Linked DNA regions of Cricetulus griseus. The protein of the gene in region 1 interacts with the protein of each later gene in a pairwise test. Links are inferred from orthologs where the notes say so. Each region holds a gene or a part of one and is shown on either strand. Other genes may lie near its edges.

The links.
Region 2: the proteins of Sgta (region 1) and Csf1 interact in binary tests that used the Homo sapiens proteins (3 or more experiments, as listed by UniProt). The two-hybrid records come from large-scale screens. The link is inferred for Cricetulus griseus from reciprocal best matches to the Homo sapiens genes SGTA and CSF1.
Region 3: the proteins of Sgta (region 1) and Pbxip1 interact in binary tests that used the Homo sapiens proteins (3 or more experiments, as listed by UniProt). The two-hybrid records come from large-scale screens. The link is inferred for Cricetulus griseus from reciprocal best matches to the Homo sapiens genes SGTA and PBXIP1.
Region 4: the proteins of Sgta (region 1) and Tmub2 interact in binary tests that used the Homo sapiens proteins (3 or more experiments, as listed by UniProt). The two-hybrid records come from large-scale screens. The link is inferred for Cricetulus griseus from reciprocal best matches to the Homo sapiens genes SGTA and TMUB2.
Region 5: the proteins of Sgta (region 1) and Zg16 interact in binary tests that used the Homo sapiens proteins (3 or more experiments, as listed by UniProt). The two-hybrid records come from large-scale screens. The link is inferred for Cricetulus griseus from reciprocal best matches to the Homo sapiens genes SGTA and ZG16.

The regions. Positions count from the first base shown.
Region 1 is NC_048598.1:101,827,621-101,831,855, forward strand, and holds the end of Sgta (small glutamine-rich tetratricopeptide repeat-containing protein alpha), read right to left. Parts: intron 4,059-4,235; coding exon 4,021-4,058; intron 2,573-4,020; coding exon 2,483-2,572; intron 2,299-2,482; coding exon 2,181-2,298; 3' UTR 2,179-2,180; intron 1,450-2,178; 3' UTR 455-1,449; downstream 1-454. UniProt on the Homo sapiens protein: Co-chaperone that binds misfolded and hydrophobic patches-containing client proteins in the cytosol. Mediates their targeting to the endoplasmic reticulum but also regulates their sorting to the proteasome when targeting fails.
Region 2 is NW_023276806.1:49,399,811-49,404,703, reverse strand, and holds the start of Csf1 (macrophage colony-stimulating factor 1), read right to left. Parts: upstream 3,325-4,893; 5' UTR 3,054-3,324; coding exon 3,015-3,053; intron 1-3,014. UniProt on the Homo sapiens protein: Cytokine that plays an essential role in the regulation of survival, proliferation and differentiation of hematopoietic precursor cells, especially mononuclear phagocytes, such as macrophages and monocytes.
Region 3 is NW_023276806.1:65,108,299-65,113,079, forward strand, and holds the start of Pbxip1 (pre-B-cell leukemia transcription factor-interacting protein 1), read right to left. Parts: upstream 3,325-4,781; 5' UTR 3,230-3,324; intron 2,247-3,229; exon of another isoform or gene 2,170-2,246; intron 652-2,169; 5' UTR 618-651; coding exon 564-617; intron 1-563. UniProt on the Homo sapiens protein: Regulator of pre-B-cell leukemia transcription factors (BPXs) function. Inhibits the binding of PBX1-HOX complex to DNA and blocks the transcriptional activity of E2A-PBX1.
Region 4 is NC_048600.1:115,815,086-115,820,020, forward strand, and holds the start of Tmub2 (transmembrane and ubiquitin-like domain-containing protein 2), read right to left. Parts: upstream 3,325-4,935; 5' UTR 3,200-3,324; intron 2,691-3,199; 5' UTR 2,671-2,690; coding exon 2,636-2,670; intron 1,056-2,635; coding exon 495-1,055; intron 274-494; coding exon 1-273.
Region 5 is NC_048596.1:73,700,526-73,704,564, reverse strand, and holds Zg16 (zymogen granule membrane protein 16), read right to left. Parts: upstream 2,623-4,039; coding exon 2,568-2,622; intron 2,395-2,567; coding exon 2,262-2,394; intron 1,341-2,261; coding exon 1,025-1,340; downstream 1-1,024. UniProt on the Homo sapiens protein: May play a role in protein trafficking. May act as a linker molecule between the submembranous matrix on the luminal side of zymogen granule membrane (ZGM) and aggregated secretory proteins during granule formation in the TGN.

The DNA.
Region 1 (4,235 bases):
TCAGGGATTACTCACCCTGAAGACTACACAATAGGTCAAGGCTGTTTTCTGGGTTCCCAGATACCACATGCTCCACTAAGCCTGTGACCCCAAAGTCATGGGTCTGTGGGCTGCGAGCCTCCAACTGCTTCCCACCACCTCCCCAACATGATTTTGTTTGCTGTTACCTATAGAAGCTAACAGGAGGGGAAAGGACAGGGTAGCTTGCTGACCACATGGTCAGACCCACAGGTCAGAGATAGGAACCCATTTCCCATGGACACAGGACATGTCCCCACAAGTTTGTAGCCTGTGCCCAGCTCTAACCCAGTAGCCTGTGCCCAGCTCTAACCCAGAGGTCCCCATGGGAACCATATCTGAAGGGCCTTGCTGTTGTCTCCTGTGTGCCAGGACAGACTGGCCCTCCAAGCTATAGTATGTTAGTCATCAGGTCAATGGGACTGATACCACAGGCCAAGTGTCATCCTTGTCTCTTTATTACCCAGGTGGTCTGTGCCCAGGTGGGCGTTGCTGCCACCTGTAAGCGGACGGCACTGGCCAAGGGGCCCATCTTCCTACTGGCTACCTATAACACACCAGGCTGACACTACCTGCCACACAGTCTGACGCCATCATGACCCACTGCTGGGTCAGCTGTCCCGTCATCTCGCCTCCCCACCATCTCCAAGTGCTGAGAGTGGGTGTGGGGATACCCACATGGCCTCACTCACTGGACAGAGCCACTCCTCATCAAAAATGGTTCTGGTGGCTGTTTCGGGGCTGAGAACATGGCCTGTGGGCCAATACTCCAAAACTGCCTGCCAACCGCAGACGTCGAATTCCCATGAAATTGAAGACAGAAGGGCAAGTATGGGCCAGGGTGGCCACGTCTTCTGCCCACGCTGAGAATGGAGCCGGACTGCACACAAAATTAGGACTGGCTGATGGCTGTGGAGACGGGAGGGAAGGTGGGGAAGGAGACACGGACGTCCACAAGTGGGGCACAAGTCACAGGCCTCTCCTGTGTGGCATAGGCCACTGGGATAAGGCAGGCAGGGGCACTTGCTAGGACCAGCAACCCAAGTGTGGGCGCAAAACGCTGGCACCCAGCTGGGGCTGGCAGTGGATGCTTACCAGGGGGCTGAGAGTCAACTATTCAAGTCTCTTTAACCAGGCGGGGTGGGGCTTGAGACCCAAAGACCCAGGCTATGCCCCGTGGATCCCTGTGTCCCCCACCCCTCAGCTTCCCTAGGTGCTGGAGGAATGGGTGCTGGTGCGTAGCTGTCTGGCTGACTCTCTTCCAGGAAGGGGTGGGGCCAGCACGAATACAAACATGGAAGTGGGGGTGAAGAGAAACAGCGGATGAGTCCGTCTTAACATGCAGGTCCAGTCTCTTTCTTGGGCAGCCCGACGGAGAAAAGGCTAAAACACCAGGAGGCCAAAGATCGATGGGATCACCACACAGATGAGCTGTGAACAGAAGCCAGGACAGTGAGAGCCATGACCAGACTAGAGCCCAGTGAGGGAGGACAGACAGGACACCCAGGGGTACTGTAGCTTCCGAGAAACCATCAGTGGCTGAGGAGACACACACCTGACACCCAACACTCTTGAACCAAAGCCAAACATGAACACGGGGACTGGTGGATGCTCAGCCTGTGAAGCGCTGACTTCGACATCTGGGGCCCTGCCTTCAGTCCCCAGAAGCCATGCCTTCAGTCAAGCACTTTGGCTTGTGCCTGCAAGCCCAGGGGTGGAGCTGGGAACTTGCCAGCCATGTAGGGATCTTGGAGAACTTAATGAAACCCAGGCCAGTGATAGCCCTAAAGTTTGGGGTCCGGGCCAGCACCTGAGGTTGGCTATGTGTATGCCTAAGGCATACACAAACGCCATGGATAAAGGAGTAAAAAGGGGGCTGGGGACATGGTCAGGGTGTAGCCTGCCCAGAACCCCCCAGTAAGGGGGTTGAGGGCGTGGTAGGGTGTAGCCCCTTGCAGAGAACAAGGCCCTAGGTTCATCTGCACTACTTTGATAAAAAAAATGACGAAAAGGCAGAAGTTAGATTCTATACAGGTGTCAGTGGCAGCTCTGGACACATACACTCCATGCCATGGAGACAGGAAATGGACTTCTCATGGGTAGTGACAAGCAAGGACAGGACTGCCCCATAGTCGGCCCAGGCAGCACCGGCGGCTTTACCGTCACTCTTGCTGCTCCTCATGGCTGGCACTGGGTGTCCGGCTGCGCACCACCTGGCTCCGGATCTGCTCCACGAACTCCGGGTTCTGCTGCTGCATCTGCTGTGCAAACTGCTGGCCCCTGTGGGTGCCCAGGACACTGACTGTGCCCTCTCCTCCTGCTGTGACCCCTCCTCATGCCTCCCTCCACCTGCTCACCTCTGGGATGTGCATGCCAGCCCCCCGCCCCCTTCCTGCTATTCCCCTTGCTCACGCCTGGGATGCCAGTTGCCCCCAACCCCACCACAACCTGCAGCAACACTCACGCCTGGATGAGGCTGGCCAAGTCACTCTGTGATGAACTGCTGCCTGGGGTACCCAAGGGGTTATGGCCACCAGAGATCATGCCTGACATCCTGCAGAAGAAAGGACTGAGCACACGGCCTTGGCAGCCACTGCCCTCTGTCTCCCAGGACCCGCAGACAACTCCTGGTCAGGTGAGAGGGCAGTTCCCATGTCCCCTTCCTCTCAGACTCTAAGCTGAGTCAAATGTTTGTCATTGCTGACAGTGTAGGGAGATGACAGGAAGTGCAATAGACCTTAGACACCCTCTGGAGAACAAGTCAGCAGCAGAAACACACACAGTGACAAGGGTGAAAAAGTCCTGTGGAGTTGGAGTACAAAATCAGCCCCTGCCATTCCTCAGCAAGACAGAGCTGACTCTGGGCTCCGACTTGGTGTGCTCACAGCAGCACACCTGACAGTGGTCAGAACAAATGGCTTGTGACACGCTCAGTTATCACCCAGCCCCAATAGGAGGCTCTGGCACACACCACAGCACAAAGGAACCCCAAGGACTCTATGTTAATTCCAGAGCCAGACCAGAAAGGCCCAAATAAGACTCTATGATGGGAGGGGTTAGAGAGATGGCTGAGGGGTTAAAAGCACTGACTGTGCTTCCAGAGGTTCTGAGTTCAATTCCCAGCGACCATGTGGTGACTCACAACCTTCCGTTATGAGATCTGGTGCCCTCTTCTGGCCTGCAGGCATGTAGGCAGACAGAATACTGTACATATATACCTTTTAAAAAAAAAGACTCTATGGTGGGAAATGTCCACAAAAGGCCAACATAGAGATGGGAGGTAAATTTGTGGGTGCTGAGCTTTGGGGAGGGAACGGGGTGATGGCTCACGGGGATGGAAAGCTCTTTAAATAGAATTTAAAGAGCAGGTGCATGACAACGCAATAGTGTATGATGCCAGCCGGTTTCCTGGTTAAAGATCAACTCTCGGCAACACGTCACACTTCATCAAGCACCATGAGTTCAAGGTCATTCGGTCTACATCAAGAGTTACAGGAGAAAGAAAGAAAGAGAGAGAGAGAGAGAGAGGGAGAGAGAGAGAGAGAAATTCCAGGACAGTTGGAGCTGCTCATGGGACCCAGCCTCAAAAGGTAAATGTTGAGCTGGGCATTGGTGGCGCACGCCTTTAATCCCAGCACTCAGGAGGCAGAGCCAGGTGGATCTCTGTGAGTTCGAGACCAGCATGGTCTACAAGAGTGAGTCCCAGGATAGGCTCCAAAGCCACAGAGAAACCATGTCTTGCAAATCAAAAAACAATAATAAGGGATGGAGAGATGGTTCACGGTTGGAACACTGGCTGCTCATAAAAGACCTGGGTTCTGTCTGAGCACCTGCATGACAGCTCACTACCATCTATAACTTCAGTTCCTGGACATCCGACACCCTGTTCTGGCTTTATTGGGCCTCACACACATGTGAACAGAAATACATGCAGGCAATACACATACAATAAAAATTAGAAAAGCAAGAAGACTACTGTCCCTTGTATTCAGTGTTACTCACAGCTGCTGCAGTTGGGGACTGTTCATTAAGCTGGAAGCCTGAAGAGGAAAGGCAGACAGATCAGGAGAGGCTGAGCCTTGGCCACACTGACCCCCCTAAAGCACACACCTCCTGGTGGCTGTGCTGGCTCCCTCCTATTGGCTCCCACTGACATGAGTTCCTTATTTGCAGTGCTAGTCCTCATGCAGCCCAGGTCACCACAGAGCCATGACAGT
Region 2 (4,893 bases), on another chromosome or scaffold:
GTTTTGCCTGCATGCACATATGCCTACCATATGCATGCCTCTTGGAATCCCCTGGAACTGGAGAAACAGATAGTTGTGAGCCACCATGTGGGTGCTAGGAATTGAACCTGGGTCCACTGCAAGAGCAACAAATATTCTTAATGCTGAGCCATATCAGCCAGGCGTTGGTGGCACACGCCTTTAATCCCAGCACTTGGGAGGCAGAGGCAGGCAGATCTCTGTGAGTTTGAGACCAGCCTGGTCTCCAGAGCGAGTGCCAGGATAGGCTCCAAGCTACACAGAGAAACCCTGTCTCAAACAACAACAACAACAAAACAAAAACAAACAAAAATGCTGAGCCATCTCCCCAGTCTACAGAGAATTTCTAATGATAACACTAGTGGTGTGTCAGTCTGTATACCGAGAAACTCCTTGGGGTAGAGTTTTCTGTCCTTTCAGCTTTAATGCTGAGACAAATTCCTTGCAAGCTGGCTTCAAGTTTGTGATCAGACACTACCTTTCAGACTGCAAGCCAGAAACATTGACCCTGGGTCCTGCCTCCCTTCCCACCTGGTTCCACAAGTCTGGCTCAACAGGGGGAAACACTGGGATCAAACTCCATTTCACTGGGAACACAACCCAAGTAGGAGACCTCCTGGAGCCTTGGACTTGCATTCCAATGGACTAATCAAAGATAATGCTGTGTTTCACTGATGATATTTGCCTATCTGATGGTTCATCTAGTCAGCAAACTCTTGCCACAGCAAGGAAGTTCTCTCTTTTTTGTCAGCACCCACCTGGACCAGCAGCTGCTCATCCCTAGAGTTCCTAACACTTGACTTGGTCCTTCCTTTCTCCTTTCTCCCTTCCTCCTCCCCAAGATCCTTTCATCCCTACAACTCCAATAGGGCATCTCAGGGATACCAGCCTCAGGCGGGGAGCTCTTGGGCTTCCTTCCCCTGGTCTGAGGCTGCCTCCTAGGAGCTCCTGAGCATCCTGGCAGCTGATGTCCCCAATTCAGGGAAATGCTGGCAGGGTGGAGTGATGGCTGGCACCTTCCTAGATCTGGGCTCTGCCCCAATAGTCCAGATGATGAGACAAATCCTGAAAATAGGAGCACATTGAAAAAGCACAGGGAGGCTATGAAACAGTCCACAACAACACTGGTTTAAATCTAAATGCCCAAAGCCTTGGCAGTGTGTACCAGGGAGAAAAGGCAGCATTGGCTGGCCAGTGATGAGGGAAGAGGGACTTCAGCGAGGCCTTAACGGGTGGCAGACAGAGATAGGGGTTGAGAGAAGAGGCACAGGGTTGCCCAATGCCATTAAGCATGGGGTTGGTTAGGGCCCTGGCTTCCACACTCAGAGGAAGAGTGTGGAAGAAGGTGCAGCAGCCAAGGGATGATACTGTGTTGGGCACTGTTGGGCAATTGGAAAGTTAGCCCTGAATAGCAGCATCCCAAATCTTCAGAACCTCACACTTAGGACCTAGAAAGGAAACTACTGTGCAGAAGATAACTGGCCCAAGCTGGTTGTCACTCAGGCTGGCAGCTCATGGTGTACATGGTATGGAGAAAAGGTCCTGGGCATGGAGATATTCAGGAAGACCTCAATCCTGGCACCTCAAGGCATTGATGTTTGAGGATAGCAAGGTGAAGAGATTACTCTGGGATACTTGGCTTTTGGTGGCACTTCAATCATGCACAGGAATAATGCACAGTTACCAGATAAGAGGCTAACTTCAAAGATGACCAAAGAGGGCCACTCCTAGATCTGTAACCCTAATGCTACCATAGACAAGGATACAGATGGGCACCCAAGGGTTAATACTCCAGCTTACATCTGGCTGGACAGGCTCTTCCTGGCTTGCTTCTTCCTCCCACCCACTGCTTCAGCCTCTGACTATAAGAGCAGCCCTGGAAGGAAACTGCTGCAGTCTCAGAATGCTTCAAGACATCACGTTCCATTTCCCAATCAGTAAGGTCTCTGTAGAGACCTGGCATGATTGGGCCCTCTGACTGATCTTGTCTAATTCTGGCCTTCTTTCCCCTTGTTTTCCCTTCTCATTAGCCCTTCTTTTTACTTATTGTTTGTGTTATAACCCTTCCTTCCCCTCCTCACCCCATCTCCTGCCTCTCAGGGCCCTCCCTCCCAGGGGATCTACTTTCTCTCTCAAACACCTGCAACCCTCCCCTGCCCATCAGATGTTTTGCTCTTGCCCTCTAGGCTTTCCCCATCACTCTTCTCAGAAGCAAACTGTCTTGCTGTTGGTCGGAAGTGCCACCCTGCACTCTCCAGGAGCCACAGCATCATCTACTGCCACTCATGGGGAAACTTCTGGCAACCCACCAGCAGCTCTGCATCTGTGAACTCTCATTCCACTCTCCTCAATCAGCAGTTGAGCCCAGAATAGCCCCATCTCATTGAACCAAATTTTTCTGGGTTAGCTTCAGGCCATTCCTGGGGTCCCATTCCCCTCAAACAGCCATCCAAGTCCCTAACAGCGCTTGCCCATAGACTGCAGCAAGTAACAGCATGACCATTTTTTCTTTTGACAACAGGTTGCTTAGCACAAGTCCTGGCATTCTAAAGCTGAGTGACCCTAAATTTTCCCTTCCCAGAAGGCCCACTCCCAGTTAGGGTCTAGAAACATGTGCAACAACCAGAGGAAGATGCCCACTGGGGATGATGCCACACTCTGGTCTGTCACTCGGTGCCTGGAGACGGGCCGATCATCCTGGCAGACACTGGGCCTGTGCCAATTGCTGCAAACTTCTCTCTCTCCTGCCTGTGGGTGGCTCAATTTTCTTCTCCGTTCAATGGGGTGAGCAGCCTTCCCCTTACCCCGCAAAGCGCTGTAGCCCCAAGAGCAGCTGCTGAACTACAGCGGGCCTCAGCCCTAGCGCAGAAGCGGTTAGGAAGTCTGATGCTAGGGCCGAGATGCCTGAGCTGCCGCGCCGAGCCGCCACTGCTGCAGAGCTCCCGCCCTAGCCCGGCCCGAGCGGGGCCGGGCCCCGCTCCGTGGTCGCAGCTTACCGATGAAGGGCAGCGCCCCGCGGCGCCCCGCGCGGTCATACGGGCAGCTGGGTCCCGGTCCGGCGTGTTTGCCGCTCTAGTTCGCTCGCTCCCTCGATCGCTGCTGGTTGGAGAGCTTGCACCCCGACCGAGGGCCACGCCGCTGTCCCGGGATGCAGAAAGCCGCAGCAACACGGAGAGCACCGAGGCAAACTTTCACTTTCCTCTGGCCGAGCTTAGCTGGCCAGCCCTCGGCACAGCCTTTTAAGCGGGCGGGCTGGCGGGGCATGTGGTTTATGGGAAATCACCCTGGCCCTCTGCCAGACACACACACACACACACACACACACACACACACACACACACACACACACACACACACAAACACACCACGCTCACACTCACAGGCACTGACACATACACCCCGAGGCCCACTGAGCCGCCGCCTCCCTTCCCCCAAGCGGGCGCCTGGTCGTCCCCGCTAGCTAGCTCTCTCTCTTCCCCGTCGCCTTATGGCTGTGCTAGCTCCGCAGCCTTCAGCAAAGTAACCAGGGCTCCACCGCCCTCCCCCTCCCTTCTCGAGCTCTGGACAAGAACAGCTTTTCCTTCTGTGCTCTCTACTCTTGTCAATCTCGTGTGATTGCCTTCTTTCTAATGCTGGTCCCTAGGGACTTTTCCCTCCAGGTCCGAAAATCCTCAAGGATTTTCCTGAGCAGGAAATGGACAGGATGCATTGAGAAGGACCTGAATGGGGATGGACCAACCATGGAAGTCTGGGGCCTCTCTGCTTCAGCTCCACTCAACACTCTCAAGGAGCCCAAGGCAGCAGGTTTGCAGGTTGACTTGCTCCTTCCAATGCATCCTCCAAGGAATCTGCTAAACTTCCTGCTCTCTGCTTGTGGGGAGAAGTGGGAAGCAGGGTACAGCTGGCAATCAGCTACCTGGCCAGGTGAGGAGGGGCCTATTCCTTTGACAGCTGGCTGAGTGGTTCTGTACTCTGTGCCAGGAGGTACTTCAGGTGCTTAACCCATGAATGATGCAAAGGCTGGCCGGTCCCCTGCTCCTGGGCTGCCAAACACAGCTGAAGTGGAAAGGCCAGTGCACCTGGGCCCTAGATTTTCCTAGAAGGTTTTGGAAGTGCATTATGGAGACTATCACATTTTGTCTGTATGCGAGAATGAATCTAAATGAATGAAGGGGAGCCTATTAATTATACTGCCAACATCAGGATCTTTTTCCTTCTTCTATTCGTTTAGACTTAATGTGTTTCAATCCCTCCATATCTATCTACCCCAATCTCTGATGAGTGGCCTGGTCTCAAAGAGGCATCTTTTGTCACTTGTTTCCTCTGACACGAAGGCTTCTTTCCTCCATCAATCTTAAGGAGGATGCCTCATTTTTTTTGTTTTCTTTTTATCATTTTTATTTGAATTAGAAACAAGATTGAATTACATGAAAGTCCCAGTTCCCTTCTCCCTCCCTTCCTCCCCTACCACTCCCCAACTAAAACCCTACCTACCACATACCCTTTCTTCTTTTCTTCACCTGACTCAACCTTTCTGCTCCCTCATGATCTCTGCACCCTTCCTCTTCTTCCCTTCTCATTCTCGTAGCTCCCTCCCCCCTCTTCCCATGCTCTCAATTTGTTCAGGGGATTGTGACCCTTTCCCCTTCTCCAGTGGACAATGTTTGTCTCTTTTAGAGTTCTCCTTGTTTACTGGTTTCTCTGGCAGTGTGGATTGGAGGCTGGTAATCCTTTACTCTATGTCTAAAATCCACATATGAGTGAGTACATATCATGTTTGTCTTTTTGTGATTGGGTTACCTCACTCAGAATGGTTTCTTCTAGTTCCATCCATTTTCCTGCAAATTTCAAGATTCCATTGTTTTTTTTTTCTGC
Region 3 (4,781 bases), on another chromosome or scaffold:
GCCAACAGAAGCAATTCAGGTGACCATCAGGACCAAGAGAACAGGACAGATCCAGAAAACAGTGCTGGGAGCCAGACCAACCCAAGACTTTCTCAGAGGCCCTCATGAAAGAACAAAGGGAGCTTTAGTTCTATGTCCTTGTCCATGAGCAGACTAGGAAAGGTTGGTCTAGGGCTAGAGCCAGTTCCTCGAAGGAGTCAAGGTTGTATTCTTGTGACATGACTCTTCCCCCTGGACTATGGTTATCAATCCTAAGGCTGAGGTATTCTGTATTCTTTGCCAATGTTGTCTGATATAGCTCTCTGCTGACTTTGGCCATTTTCCCTTGTAGATAGTATGTAAGATGCTGTACTTCCTAATAAATTTATTTGGCATAAGTCATCAGCTTGTACAAGACCTCCTAGTCCCAGCTATTGCTTTTGTCTTCTTTATCCCTCAATCCCTGACACTCCCACTAAACACCTCACCATTTGGGACCCTTATTCCTGCAGGTTCCGGTTCAAAGCAGTCCACTCCTGTGGAAGTCCCCCCTCCCACGTAGTTCCCAGGCCCACTGTTCCTACCTCAGAGCCAGCAAGCACCCAGCTATTATCTGAGTCTGGGCAGGAGGAGGTCATAGTTGTGGCAGTCCAGGGTTGCTAGAGTGGCCACCTGCAGGGAAAAGCTCTCTTAAGAATTGGAGTCCCTGGGCTGGAGAGATGGCTCAGCAGTTAACAGCACTGGCTAAGGTTCAATTCCCAGCACCCACATGGCAGCTCACAACTGTCTGTAACTCCAGTTCCAGAGGATCTGACACCCTCACTCAGACACACATGCAGGCAAAACACGACACCAATCTACATAAAATAAAAATAAATCTTAAAAATAAATAAATAAAAATTTTTATAGAGGAGGAAGAGGGGAGGGAACTCCCATCAGGGGAGGCAGACAGCAGAAGTAGGACTCCAGGCATCAAAAGCAGGGCAGTAATCTCCAAAACCCAGGCCAGTTCAGTCCTTCTGCCCTAATCCCATGCTTTCCTGGAAGTATTCTTGCTAGAAGCCACAGGGAAGCTGCCTCTTCCAAGGATCCACAGGGCCTTGGGAAACTGCACTGACCTTGAAAGGTCAAAGAGGCCAAAGGCTGAAAAGTCCAACCCCCTGGTGTTCTGGTCAGTGGGGAGGCATCACAGAGAGGCTGACTGACTGGAGAGAGGGAAATAACCTGGGTCCCTTTCACAATACCTGGGTCCTCCATAGTCCCTAGCGTCCTCCCACAGAACCCAAAGAGAAGACCCACCAGTCTCCTTAAGGCCCAAGTGTCCCAGCACCCATCTGTCCATCAACCCTCCACTCTTGGTTTAGGCGAGTGGTTCTCAACCCGTGGGCCACACCCCTCTGTCAGCTATTTATATTACATTCATACAGTAGTAAAATTACACTTAAGAAGTAGCAACAAAATAACTTTATGGCTGGGGGTCACCACAACATGAGGAACTGTATGTATTAAAGGGTCACAGCGTTAGGAAGGTTGAGAACTTCTGGTTTACTGGTTCTCAGCACTGGCTTTGCAAGGCTCAGTTAAGACTGCCATTGACGTGAGTGGAATCAGGCCAGGCAGGAAGCTTTCTGATACTGCAGGGCCCAGCAGGCCTGGGAGAGTTAAGTCCTCCTGGGTGTACATTTAGTCAGGCTCCTTTTCGCTTTCTCTCCACTGTAAATTCTACAGAGTTTGATCTCAGGGATCTTGATCTCAGGGACTGGAGAGAAGGATTTGTGGCGATTACCATCCATAAATCACATTACAATTTACAACAAAAAGGGGTGGGGGACTGGGACTCTGGTCCTGTCCCTTGCTAATCAGCTTGAAGGACAACCAGGGTTAAGGTATGACTCCCCCCCCCCCACACACACACACATTAAGCAAGGCTGTGCCCTTGGGCTATGGAGTTGCATCTGGGATCAGGCATGAGGATGGAGTGACAGACAAGCTGACCCACAGAGTCTTGGACTGTGGTCAGAGACAGAAAAGTCACTGCCTTCCCCGGTAGCAGAAAAGGCAGAAGGTGAAGATGACTGAAGAACACTGAGAAGGGAAAATGGGGTGGGGGAGTCTGGAAGTTCTACCTTCAAAACCAGCCAATGCTTCCTATCTATCTACTCCAGCTAGGGTTAAGCCCTTCATGGTTACCTTATAAACTTCTGTGGCTCTGGCCAGTCAAGATTCAAGTCCAAGATAGGTGATAAAGGACGTCTAATGGTGTCTTTCTGAGTGCCAGTGAGACACCAGCACCCAACCCACAGGGAGACAGAATGATTTCGGTAAGTTCTCTATACCAGGTCCCAAAAAACCTCCCTACGCCCCCCTTCCTCTAGTGACACACACACACACACACACACACACACACACACACACACACAGCCATCCTTGTCCAGCTCTCTGGTCTCACCCCTCCCTCTACTGCCCTGTCCCAATCCCAGCTGCTGTGTGTGACTGTTAACAGGTGACAGGAGGAAGGAAGCAGCAGCAGCTTGAGCAGAAGTCCCCGGTTCATCCCTGGCTGTTTACAGCCTGCTCAGGTCCTCCAGAACTAAGCACCATGGCAACCAGGGTGATGTCAGACCTACTGTCTCCATGGAAACCAGCAATGGTACGGTATTTGGGTCAACAAGACAAACCTTCTGAAACCTAAGCAGCGGACTTCCTGGAACTCCTGCACTCAGGGTCCCAAACCCTGCTACCAGAACGCATCCCTGCTCTCCTAGGCTAGCACATCGATGCCTTATTAGGAAGCCCTCTAAGAAATTGTGCCGCTGCTTAGCTGCCATCCTTCTCAGCTGTGTTTTCAGGACTCTTTGACCTCTAGGAAGAAAACCAGCTCCCTACGCTCCCCTTTTCACTCAAACGGGGTACAACATCTTGTCAGGATTGTCTCTGACTCCTGCTGTTTCTAAAAAACAGTGCTCCTACTCTGCACAAAGCTGTGAAGTCTGGTTTGGTGCACACTTCCCTCTAACAGACTTCTCTGACCTTTAAAGGGAAGGACCTGGGACCACAAGAACTTGCCTGAGTTCCTGCTTCGGATTCATCCGTCTCCCTCCTTCCCCGCCCTTAGGTCCTGTGTTAGGCAGTGTGTGGACCCGGGGCGGGGGCGGGGGGGGGGTGCCCACTCCTTTTATACAGCTCTGCCCTCCTTTTTTATAGGGGGATAAAGTGGGGGTCTGCCGGCCCATTCCAGCTAGGGATTTACCTGACCCAGCTCTCGCTTCTGTCTTCAGTTTAACTTCTTGCAACCTCCCCAGGTTTCCAGCCCAGGAAGGGGAAAAAAAGGGGGGGGAGTCACGTGGCTGGTGTTTGACCAGTGAAAAGTCGCCTTCTCCGCACGGGTGGGAGGGTAGGGGGAACTTTTGACCAATAAAAGGTGGACTTGATCTCCTGGGCGGGGCGCGGGTAGGGGTAGAAGATGTAAGCAGTACTTTCCCTCTTGGTTTATCTCTTGGTGGGCGAATGTGATCCCCAACAAACTAATTTTTTTTTGAGGTGGGGAACCTCGCTCCTTTTCGAAATGTTTAGTGTCTAATAGGAAGATCTAAAACTGAAAGGTGCTGTCTGATGAGATAGCAAGGACCAGGTGCCATGTTGGCCCCAGGATAGACAGAGACAGCTGTAGTATGGGGGATGGGTCCGGTGCTAGTTGTGGGTTTAGAAATAGCACTCCTGCCTTCCTGCGGGCAGACTGAAGGTGCCACTGCTTTGAAAATGGAATGGAGGGCGGCCAAACGTGGTGGTGCACGCCCTTAACTCCAGCTCTTGGGAGGCCGAGACAGGTGTATCTCTATAGTTCGAGATCAGCCAGTTCTACATAGTGAGTTCCGGACCAGCTAGGGCTATATAGTGAGACTCCGCCTCACAAACAAACAGCAACAACAACAAAGAGAGGCCAGCCAGTGGGATGGCTCGGTGCGGTGAAACCTCCACAGGTGCACTGTGCACGTGCCTGCCTTCAACACATTAAAAAAAAAAAAAAAAAAAAGGAGGTGCTATAATCCCTGTGCTAAGAGACTGAAACAAGAGGGTGATTAAGGCCAGTGTTGTGATCTTGTTTAAAGACTCGAGCTAGGGAACGTGAACCAGGAGATACATTAACCATGGAGTTTATTAAGGGGGGGGGAGCGAGAGAGCGAGAGAGAGACAGAGACAGAGAGGAGAGAGAGACAGAGAGACACACACAGAGAGAGAGAGAGAGAGAGAGAGAGAGAGAGAGAGAGAGAGAGAGAGAGAGAGAGAGAGAGAGAGAGAGCGCCAAGAGGGTGTAGTAGAAGAGAGCATAAGTGAGCAGGGGGTCTGTCTTTTAAAGGGGTCCTTTACACCTCCCTGCAGACTTAGTTCTCATGGAACCCTGGGCTGACCAGAGTACTGCCTGAGTGGATTCTGCCAGGTAGCCAGGCCAGCTTTATGCCTGCACCTTTCATTCCCACCTTTTCTTATTATTAAAAAGGTGGGGTGTTAGACATGGCAGGTTAGGGAATAAGGGCGTAGAGTTCTTTTTTTTTTTTTTTTTTTTTTTTTTTTTTTGGTTTTACAAGACAGGGTTTCTCTGTGGCTTTGGAGGCTGTCCTGGAACTAGCTCTTGTAGACCAGGCTGGTCTTGAACTCACAGAGATCCGCCTGCCTCTGCCTCCCGAATGCTGGGATTAAAGGTGTGCACCACCACCGCCGGGCAGGGCATAGAGTTCTTAAGAATGCTTTCTGCTGACCTAGTGGGCGTTGACCATCTTTGGGGGACCTGAGAAAGCTGGGGT
Region 4 (4,935 bases), on another chromosome or scaffold:
TAATTGATACGGAAGTACCAGACCACACCCAAGAGCACCACAAACACAGGCACCATGAGGCTGCCCACATTGACACCAAGGCTGGATGGCTCAGTGGCTGAGGGGGTCAAGGAGCCTGAGGAGCCAGAAACAGCTGCCCCTGGGGGTGAGCGGTGGCAGTGAATCACACAGTTGTTGGTAATGTTCAGGGAACTCAGTGTGCGTGCTGGGTCCTGCAGCAGCCGACCCTGGTAGATCAGCTTCATCTGGCTCTCTTGTCCAGGGAAGTATTTGCTATAAGGATGAAAGGAAAGACTGGATAAGGAATGAGGATATAAAGGTCTGGACCAACAAAGCAGGGCATGGAAGAAACTGATGGGCTGACTATGAAGTCTCTGGCAGAGACCAGCCACTAAAATTCCTCTAGTGCTCTCAAATCTGCACCAACTTTTTTTGGGGAAACCAATGAGTGAGGCACAAATCATTAGTTACTGCTCTCTTTCCAGCCTACTCACCTCTTTAGGGTACCCACAGTGTCCTCTGGCCTGGCCACAGCCAGCTCCTCGGTGTCATTGAGGAACTTGAGCCGAACATTGATGAGGCTGGGGCTGGGAGAGAGGCAGGTGCTATCATCTAATCCCAGTGGAGCTTCTGGAGGGCTCTCCAGGCCTGCTTGTCTTTTAGGGAGGCCTTGAATATCCAGGAGATGCTCAAGGCTGGGCTCCGTATCTCCCCTAGCTCCAGGTTCCCCAGTGGAGTCTCCTCCAGTGTCACTGGTCTCTTCAGCCTTCTCATCAGTCCCCTCCGATGGATGGGGGAGTTCAGTCGGTTCTGGAGCGCCTTGGCTTACCAGCTGGTCCACATGCCCCAGGTGGAGAACAGATGGGTCGCCTGCTGACACAATGGTGCCCAGCAGTTGGTTGTTACTGCTGTCTGCTACGTAAGTAGAGAGCCAGGCTAGGACCAAGGCTAGAGTCAGCACTAACACACCTGCCACCACCATCACCTCATTACCCACACCCTCGATGAGGGTGACATCAGAGAGTTCCATGGTTTGGCTGCTGACCGGGTCCACGCTGTAGGAACAAAGGGGGATAGCATCAGCAGGGCCTGAGGGCTTATAATCAGGTTTCTGGTTTGTTTAGGTTCTGAATCATGCGGGAGAGGAAAAGGGGGGGAGGGGAGTTTGTGGTGTTTTTTAGGAGAGGCAGTCAACCTCCCTAACTGTACTAGACCCTCAATCTCAAGCTAAGGACTTACCCTTGGCCTCTATTATGAAAATCTAGCTTTCAGATTCTGCTCCCATAAAGAGCACAGGTCACCAGAAAAGCCTCATAAGCTTGTCACCAGCTGCTAGTTGCTTTTTTTTTAACTTTCAATTTTTATTTTTTTGATACATGGAGAAAGAACATTTGCTTCTTCCCTTCTTTTCAAGAAAAGGTATCTCTGTGTAACCCTGACTATCCTGACTCTAGCCTTGGTCCTAGCCTGTCTCTCTACTTACATAGCAGTTAGTAGACCAAACTAACTTCAAACTCAAGAGATCCACATGTCCCTGTCTCCTGAGTGCTGGGATCAAAGGCGTGCACCACCATACCTGCCTACGTATGTCTCTGTAAGCCTGGAGTTTCTCTAAGATTTCTAACATGGGACTAAAGCACATATGCCCTTTAAGTAGCCTCAACTGTAGTTTCAAAGAATGAAAAGATTCCTTTACAGGCATTGTGCAGCCATCCCTACCAGACTTTCATTTGATTACATCTCATACATGGCCAGAGACCCATGCATGCACAGCTGTCAAAGCCAAAATAAATACCTTGTGATATATCAAGGACAGAATCAGATCACTTCAAGTGGACAAATGTACTGGGACTATCAGCAGACACACGTCTGCTACGAAAGTGTTCTGGCAAATTCTGGGGAGCCACATGGGACAGACACCAGAAACCCTGCCCTCTTGGGTCACCATGGGCTTGGCTCACAACTGTAAAACCACTGCCCCAGCATACACTCCAGTTATCCAGAACTTGGGAGATGAAGGCAGGAGGAAGGGTTCAAGACAAGTCTCCATCACATTGCAAATTCAGCCCTAGACTGCATGAAGCAGCTTAAAAAGAAGAAGAAGAAAAAACAGCCATTGCCCAAGTAGAAATTATTTGGAAAGGTTTTCCAACGAGCTCCCACAATTCTTATTTCATTCTGTCTTGTGCTGTGAAGGTTCTCTCTCTGCAGTTTCTTAGAAAAGCATGGAGGATCTCCGCATATTCCTTGGAGTATCTTCTCTTTTCCCTGGAGAACCTACTTTCACAGCTGTCCCTGAGCAAATCCAACTGGTGATTATCGTTACCAGACTATTCTCACAGCACCCATAAAGCGTCATTACTTATAAACTGTCCATCTCTTCATTGACTTGTGGAAGAATCAAGCGCAGTTCTCTTTGTAAGAAGCTCTCAGAGCAATGCTACAGAAGCTCCTCAATATCTGTGGACATACCGACATTCGAAGTTTTTTTCCCACGGCCTTATTTAACAGATTCGCCCTGGAGTCAGGGAAACAAAGATCGCGGTCTAGTCCCTCTTCTAGCTACGTAACTTCCAACAACTTTCTCAAGCCTCAGCACTGTCATCAGTAAAGCGGGGTTTAAAATGGTACCTACCTCATAAGGTTGTTTTGAAGATGACGTGAAATCATCGAAGCAAAATAATTTAAGACTGTTCGATAAACAAATGATAGCAATTATGTCTCACTCCCACAACCAACCCCTGATGGCAAGGTTAATGTCAGGAATCGTGATTTACACAGGAGGCAACTGTGGCACAGACAGCCGGAAGCCGAGGACGCAGGGGGCCGCAGGGGGCCGCGGGGGGCGTCTGCCTGCTCCCAGGCCTCAGCTTTCTCCTCAGCCTGTGGGCGACCCTGCTGGCTGTTCCCGAGGCGAAGGCTCTGCGCCCGGGAGGTCCTTCCCTGTGGCAGCAGAGCCCATGAGCCCCCACCCCCGGCCGAAGGGCTTCCGGGTCACGGTGGCGGTGCCCAGGCCCAGCTCTCCTGCCCGGGGAAGGTTAGGGTCAGGCGAGGGGGCCACAAACCATCCACACCCCTCAAACTTCGGGGCGGGACAGAGGGACCGGGGGCGGGGCCTGAGGGCGCGGAGAGTCATGGGAAATTGGAGGGTGAGGGGGTTGGACTGGTACTATTCCTGGGTGGGGAAGGAGAGCCTCACCTGACAAAGCCAGGATAAATGTTTTGACTTCGCCAGGACAGTCTCTGCACTCGTCTTTCCGTAGGGGCCGGGGGAGGGGCTGGCAACCCGGGATTCTGTCCAGGGTCCTATCTCTTCCGGCTTTCCTCGGAAGCTGTTAACATGGGGACCGGAAGTCCCGCCTCCCCGCCTTGTACTGATGACGCAAGGCTACGTAAGGCGGACTGACGTAAACGTAACTTTGACTAAAAGGGCCAGGTTGCACAGCGGCAGGAGGGGCGGAGTCATTGTTGGCGGGATTGCGGACCTCGGGCAGTAAGGCCACGCCTCGTGGGCGTGTGCCCGGGCCGTTCAGAGGTCAGAGGCGGGGACAGGAGAGGAGGAGCGGCGCGGGGCGGTGCTTGCGGGAGGGGCGTGGTTTCGTGCCTGGACGATTGTCCTGCCCGGCTCTGCTGGTCCACCCACCTCCAGCTTTCCCTCTTTCCCTCCTTCCGGCTTCTCGAGCTCCGTAACTAAAGGGAGTCGTTACTGTTCCCCTAATGCGCACTGGACGCCAATGTAGGGATCCGGAAGGTCTAGTATTTCGGATTTTTAAGAAAGTTGTTACTGGAGAAGACAGGCAAGAAGACAATTATAGTCTTAAATACTATATAGTGTGGAGCTTTGATAAATAAAGCGGGAAGGCATGTCAGAGAGACATAGATATAGTGCTCTCTTAAAAAGTGATTTGCTTTGATTTATGTGTCTGAAAGTGTATGCCACGTGTGTGTGGTTGCTTGCAGAGGCCACAAGAGGGCACTGGATTCCCTGGAGCTAGAACTGGGAAGAGAGCTCAGATCAGAAAAGAACAGCAAGTGCTCTTAGCCTTTGAACCCTCTCTCCAAGTCTATCACCCTGGATTAACTTTTCCCTTTTTTCTGTTAACTACTCAGTAGAACAGTGGTTCTCAAACTCTGGGTCGCGACCCCTTGGGGTTCCAACGACCTTTTCACAGGGGTTGGATATCAGGTATCCTGCATATCAGATCTTTATATTGCTATTCCAAAAAGTAGAAAATTATAGCTATGAAGTAACAGCGAAAATAATGTTATGGTTGGAGGTCATCCCAACATGAGGAACTGTATTAAAGGGTCGAAGCATTAGGTCACTTTAGAACCATTGTAGCAGAGGAAGACCGTGAACTTCTGATCTTCCTGTCTCTGCCTCCTAAGTGCTGGGATTACAGGCAGGCACCACTGTGAATTTAACTCAGTGTTTACATGGATCTTAACTTGTTGGCCATTTTTTAAATGAAAAAAAAATTTGGAGGGGTTTTCAAGACAGGGTTTCTTTTGTAGCCCTGCTTGTCCTGGAACTCACTCTGTAGGCCAGGCTGGACTTGAACTCACAGAGATCTGTCTGCCTCTGCCTCCCAAGTGCTGGAATCAAAAGTGTGCACCATCATGCCCTGCTGGTCTATTATTATTATTATTATTTTATTTCATCTGGGTGCTAAGGATCAAATTAAGGCCTCATACTTCCACTTACCAAATGAACCATCTTCCCAGCCCTTAGGATGACTGCAAATAACTTTCTTTTCTTTCTTTTTTTTTTTTTTTTTTTGTTTTGTTTTTTTCAAGACAGGGTTTCTCTGTGGCTTTGGACGCTGTCCTGGAACTAGCTCTTATAGAACTAGCTGGTCTCGAACTCACAGAGATCCGCCTGCCTCTGCCTCCCGAGTGCTGGGACTAAAGGCATGCACCACCACACTAGTATTT
Region 5 (4,039 bases), on another chromosome or scaffold:
AACTTGTGGCAATTTTTTTGCTTTCTTAAGCCTCTTACTTAGGGTCTTACTATGCAGACCAGGCTAGCCTAGTCTCTAAAGTTCTGGATCACAGGTATGCGCCACCATGGCTCACCTAGGATTTCCCCTTTTGCTTTTGATTTCTTGAGACAGGATCTCTTTCTGCAGCCCTGGTAGTCCTGGAAGTCTCTATGTAGACCATACCAGCCCAGCGGTTTTCTCTTTTGAACACAGCAATGATAGTGCTCACACTACTGGGAATGTGGTAGCTTCTCAAGAAAGGAGTCTCAATTTTGAGAGAGCTAAGTTAGGAACACCCAGGCTTGGAGTCAAATGAAGAGATAGAGGCTAAGGCAAGTCCTTAGGCCAAACTTTAGAAGTTAGGTGGATTCTGGAAAGAAGAAAGGAGAATTCTCCCACCACAAACAGCAAGTGACATCATGCCAATTGAATAAGGTGACATTTGGGGGCAGGAAAGCAGTTTCCCAAGGCAAGGAGCAGAGGGGAGCTGGAGAGTGAGTTTTGGCAAGTTGGTACAACCAAGCCTTACCCTAGCCTCTGAAGTCCTATTAGGAAAAATTTTCAGGGGCTGTCCTTGGGAAGAGTTGGTGCAGGCAGAATTTTGTCTCTTTTTGATGGCATAAAGAAAAGCCCATAGCACATCTCATCCTTATTCTCCCATTTCCTTAGATTAACGTTCAACAGTAGCCAGATACAGCCAGGCATGGTGGCTCACCCCTTTTATCCCAGCACTCCAGAGGCAGAGACAGGCAGACTCTGCGAGTTCAGCCTGGTCTACATAGTGAGTTCCAGGACGTAGAGAGATCCTGTCTCAAAATGTTTTTAATTGAATATTTTAAAAAGTCCAGAAATAAGTTTCACACATTTTTATTAGAATTAGGATGTGGACAAACACCATCTTTAGTCATATCCTTTTATTAAGCTATTTGCATGTTTGCATGGGGCTTGGTGATAAGAGGGTTCTCACACCCACACAGACCCGCTGCCAGAGAGTAGGTGGGTTTCAGCAAGTGTTGCAGTGGCTAGGGTAGACATCCCAGTGTAGGCTAATGGCATCGATGACAGAGCCAGATCGGCCACTAATGAAACGAAGGACGGTGTTGGGGTGTAAGGGAATGGCGTTGAAACTTGTGCCTGAGTCTTTCCCAAAAGGCAGGTAGCGGCCTTTGTCTGTCACGAAGATCAGCTGCTTCAGGTAATACCTGTACTTCCCAGACACCTGGATCACAGACTCCCCGGGGTGCAGAAAGATCTCCTCCAGGTCTCCCTGCTTGCCACCCACATACTCACTCCACACTGTGCCATAGCGCACCTGGAGACTGGGGGCAGGGGTGGGAAGGAAGAAGGAACACGTGGAACATGGTTATTACAATTCAAGACTGGAATGGAGAGATGGCTCGGCTGGTAAAGGTGCCTGCTGCCAAGCCTGACCACACGGGTTCCACCCCTAGGTCCCACGTGGTGGAGGGGGAGAACCCACTCACAGAAGATTCCCTCTGGCCTCCACATGTACGGTGGGGCACCTGGGCACCCCCACATATCATGCACACACAAACATAAAATAAACTATATATATATATATATATATTATATATATATATATATATCTTCTTAGTCTATATGCTGTATCTTCAAACTGGTGACAAGTTCCATGAGATACAAAGACTGCGTGAGCCTTAGAAGACCATGCAGAGAATCTCGGCTTCTCATTTTGCTGGCATATTGGCTTGTGGAACTCAGTCACCCAGACAGCCAGAGTCTGAGCTCACCGCCAACACAAACTTCAAAGAAGCCCAAGGATTTTCAAACACTGGAAAGTGTCCCAGGCAAGACAGAGGAGAGACGAACCAGCACGGTGTCACAGTTCAGAACTTAGACTAGAAGGAAATGCATTTGGCTCTGCATTTGATGGAAGTTTCCAGCTGGAGGAAGGGATGGGACTACCCCAGGACAGACAACAAGCACAGGTAAAGTATGCCCGACAGAAATATGGGAAAGAGGTTTAGACCTCAGGTGAAATCCAACCCAGGTAATGTGAGACCCCTGAGAGTTTGTGATTGTTGACTTGCCAAGGTCATGTGTATTAGGGGACTAGAATAGCACAGATCTAGACTCCAGGTGTTCCAACACATTACTGTGACTTACCGATTTAAACAGGTGTGATCCAGAGTGAATGAGACTTTCCCAACCTAGTAAGGTCCCAGACAGTTCCCAAACCACAGAAACATGAAGACTCTCACCCTACTATGTAACGTGAATTGACTCGGATACGGATGGCAGTGATGGGGCCGTCCAGCTGGTTGCCAGAATGAGAGAATCGCTTTCCTCCTTTACCTCCATACTCCCCACTGTAAGAGGAGGACCTGGACTGAACTAGAGGAGAAAGAAAGGCCTGGAGGGACAGATACTCTGGGAGCACAGCTGCTCTCCACTACCCCCATTTCCCCCACCACCCCAAACCAGTATCAGGCAGCCCTGACCAGCATCAGCAGTACATGGGCTGCCTTCTCATTATCCCATTACCAGGTCAGTGGCATTTCACTTACTGGCATTGCCAGAGGCCGAGGCACAAAGAAGGGCTAAGAGAATGATGGCCAGCATTCTGAGGCTGCAGTGGGAAGAGGGAGAAAAGGAAGGCTCATTGCTTTCTGGATTTCATTTACCCAGGCATCTCTGGCTGGGAATACAGACCCATGTCATGGTGATATTTCAATTCAGATCTAAGAGACCTACAAAACTGCCCAGGGATAGTCCTGTTCCTTTCAGATATTATTTTCCAGGCCCCTAATCCCTCCGGTTCTCCCTGTTCTGACCGTACCTAACTAACCCTTCTTTCCCAATCCAAAAAGATAATCCAAACTTTCCGTCTGTGTTAAACTGAGTCAAGCCTCCCTTCATGCAGGCACAAAGCACGAGAGAGTTTTCTGAAGAGGAAGTAAAGGTCACCCCCAAAATATTGAGGCAGTTGAACTGATGATCCAAGAATCAGAGCAAAACCTCCCTGAAATCAAATGGTTGATGAGCTGTCTGAGGCACAGTTAAAGCTCTAGCATCACTCTACTCTTAAATCAAGGCAAAGAACATTTTCAAGGTGCCTCTGTATCACCTCAAGAGCAAAGGACAATAGAAGACAGTTCGCCAATGTCCAGGGAGCACTGGCGGAACTGAGCGAGGCGAAGAGATTTTAGGAGCAGCTTGCACGAGCTCAGACATCAGTTCTCAAGCAACTTGTCTGTGTGTCATAACCCTGTCTCCCACAGCTAAGCCTGTCCATATTCACCCCCCTTAGCCAAAACCAGACACCTTTGCACCCCAAAATAGCTCCCATCCAGGAGCTGCTGCCTGCGTCTGCCCTGCTACAGTCCAGGCATTGTCTTTCCTAGCTCAGATTTGGAGGTCTTCCCCCAACTCACCTTTCCCCTAGCAGTTTCAGGTGCAAATCTTCTAGAAATTCCCAGACCTTTTATACCAGGTCCAAGCCCTCCCACTGTTCTTTATTATGTGAACCTCACCTGCTGAGCAAACATGACCAACCTCCTAGGGTCAGGTGTTGAGCAGGGTCTGGAACACCTTATCCCGCCTCTCCCGCTACGGTTACAGGTGGCAAGGTGGGGTCCACTCTAGACAAAGTGCAGATTTGTGAAGAGATGTAATAAATTTTCTTAAAGTCCAACTGAAGGGCAGGAAAAGCAGCTAGAATCTAAAGAGAATAATTAATTCAGACATGGTGGCTCATGTGTGTAACACCAACATTTGGGGCGAGGCAAGAGGATCATGAGTTCAAGGCCAGTCTGGGCTACAGTATGAGACCCTGTCTGAAAACACAGACAAGCAAATGAGAATGTAATCCTAGAGGCCTGGAGGAATGTTCTCCCTACCCTAAATGATCTGAAGGTATTCTTGCCTGAGACCTGCCTTCTGTTGGGTAAATGTTGCGCTCTCCAGGTGTTTGTAATAGGTCTTCTCCCAGAATATAAAAGCACTTTTAACACATTGAGTGGTGCCAAATATTTGCTTG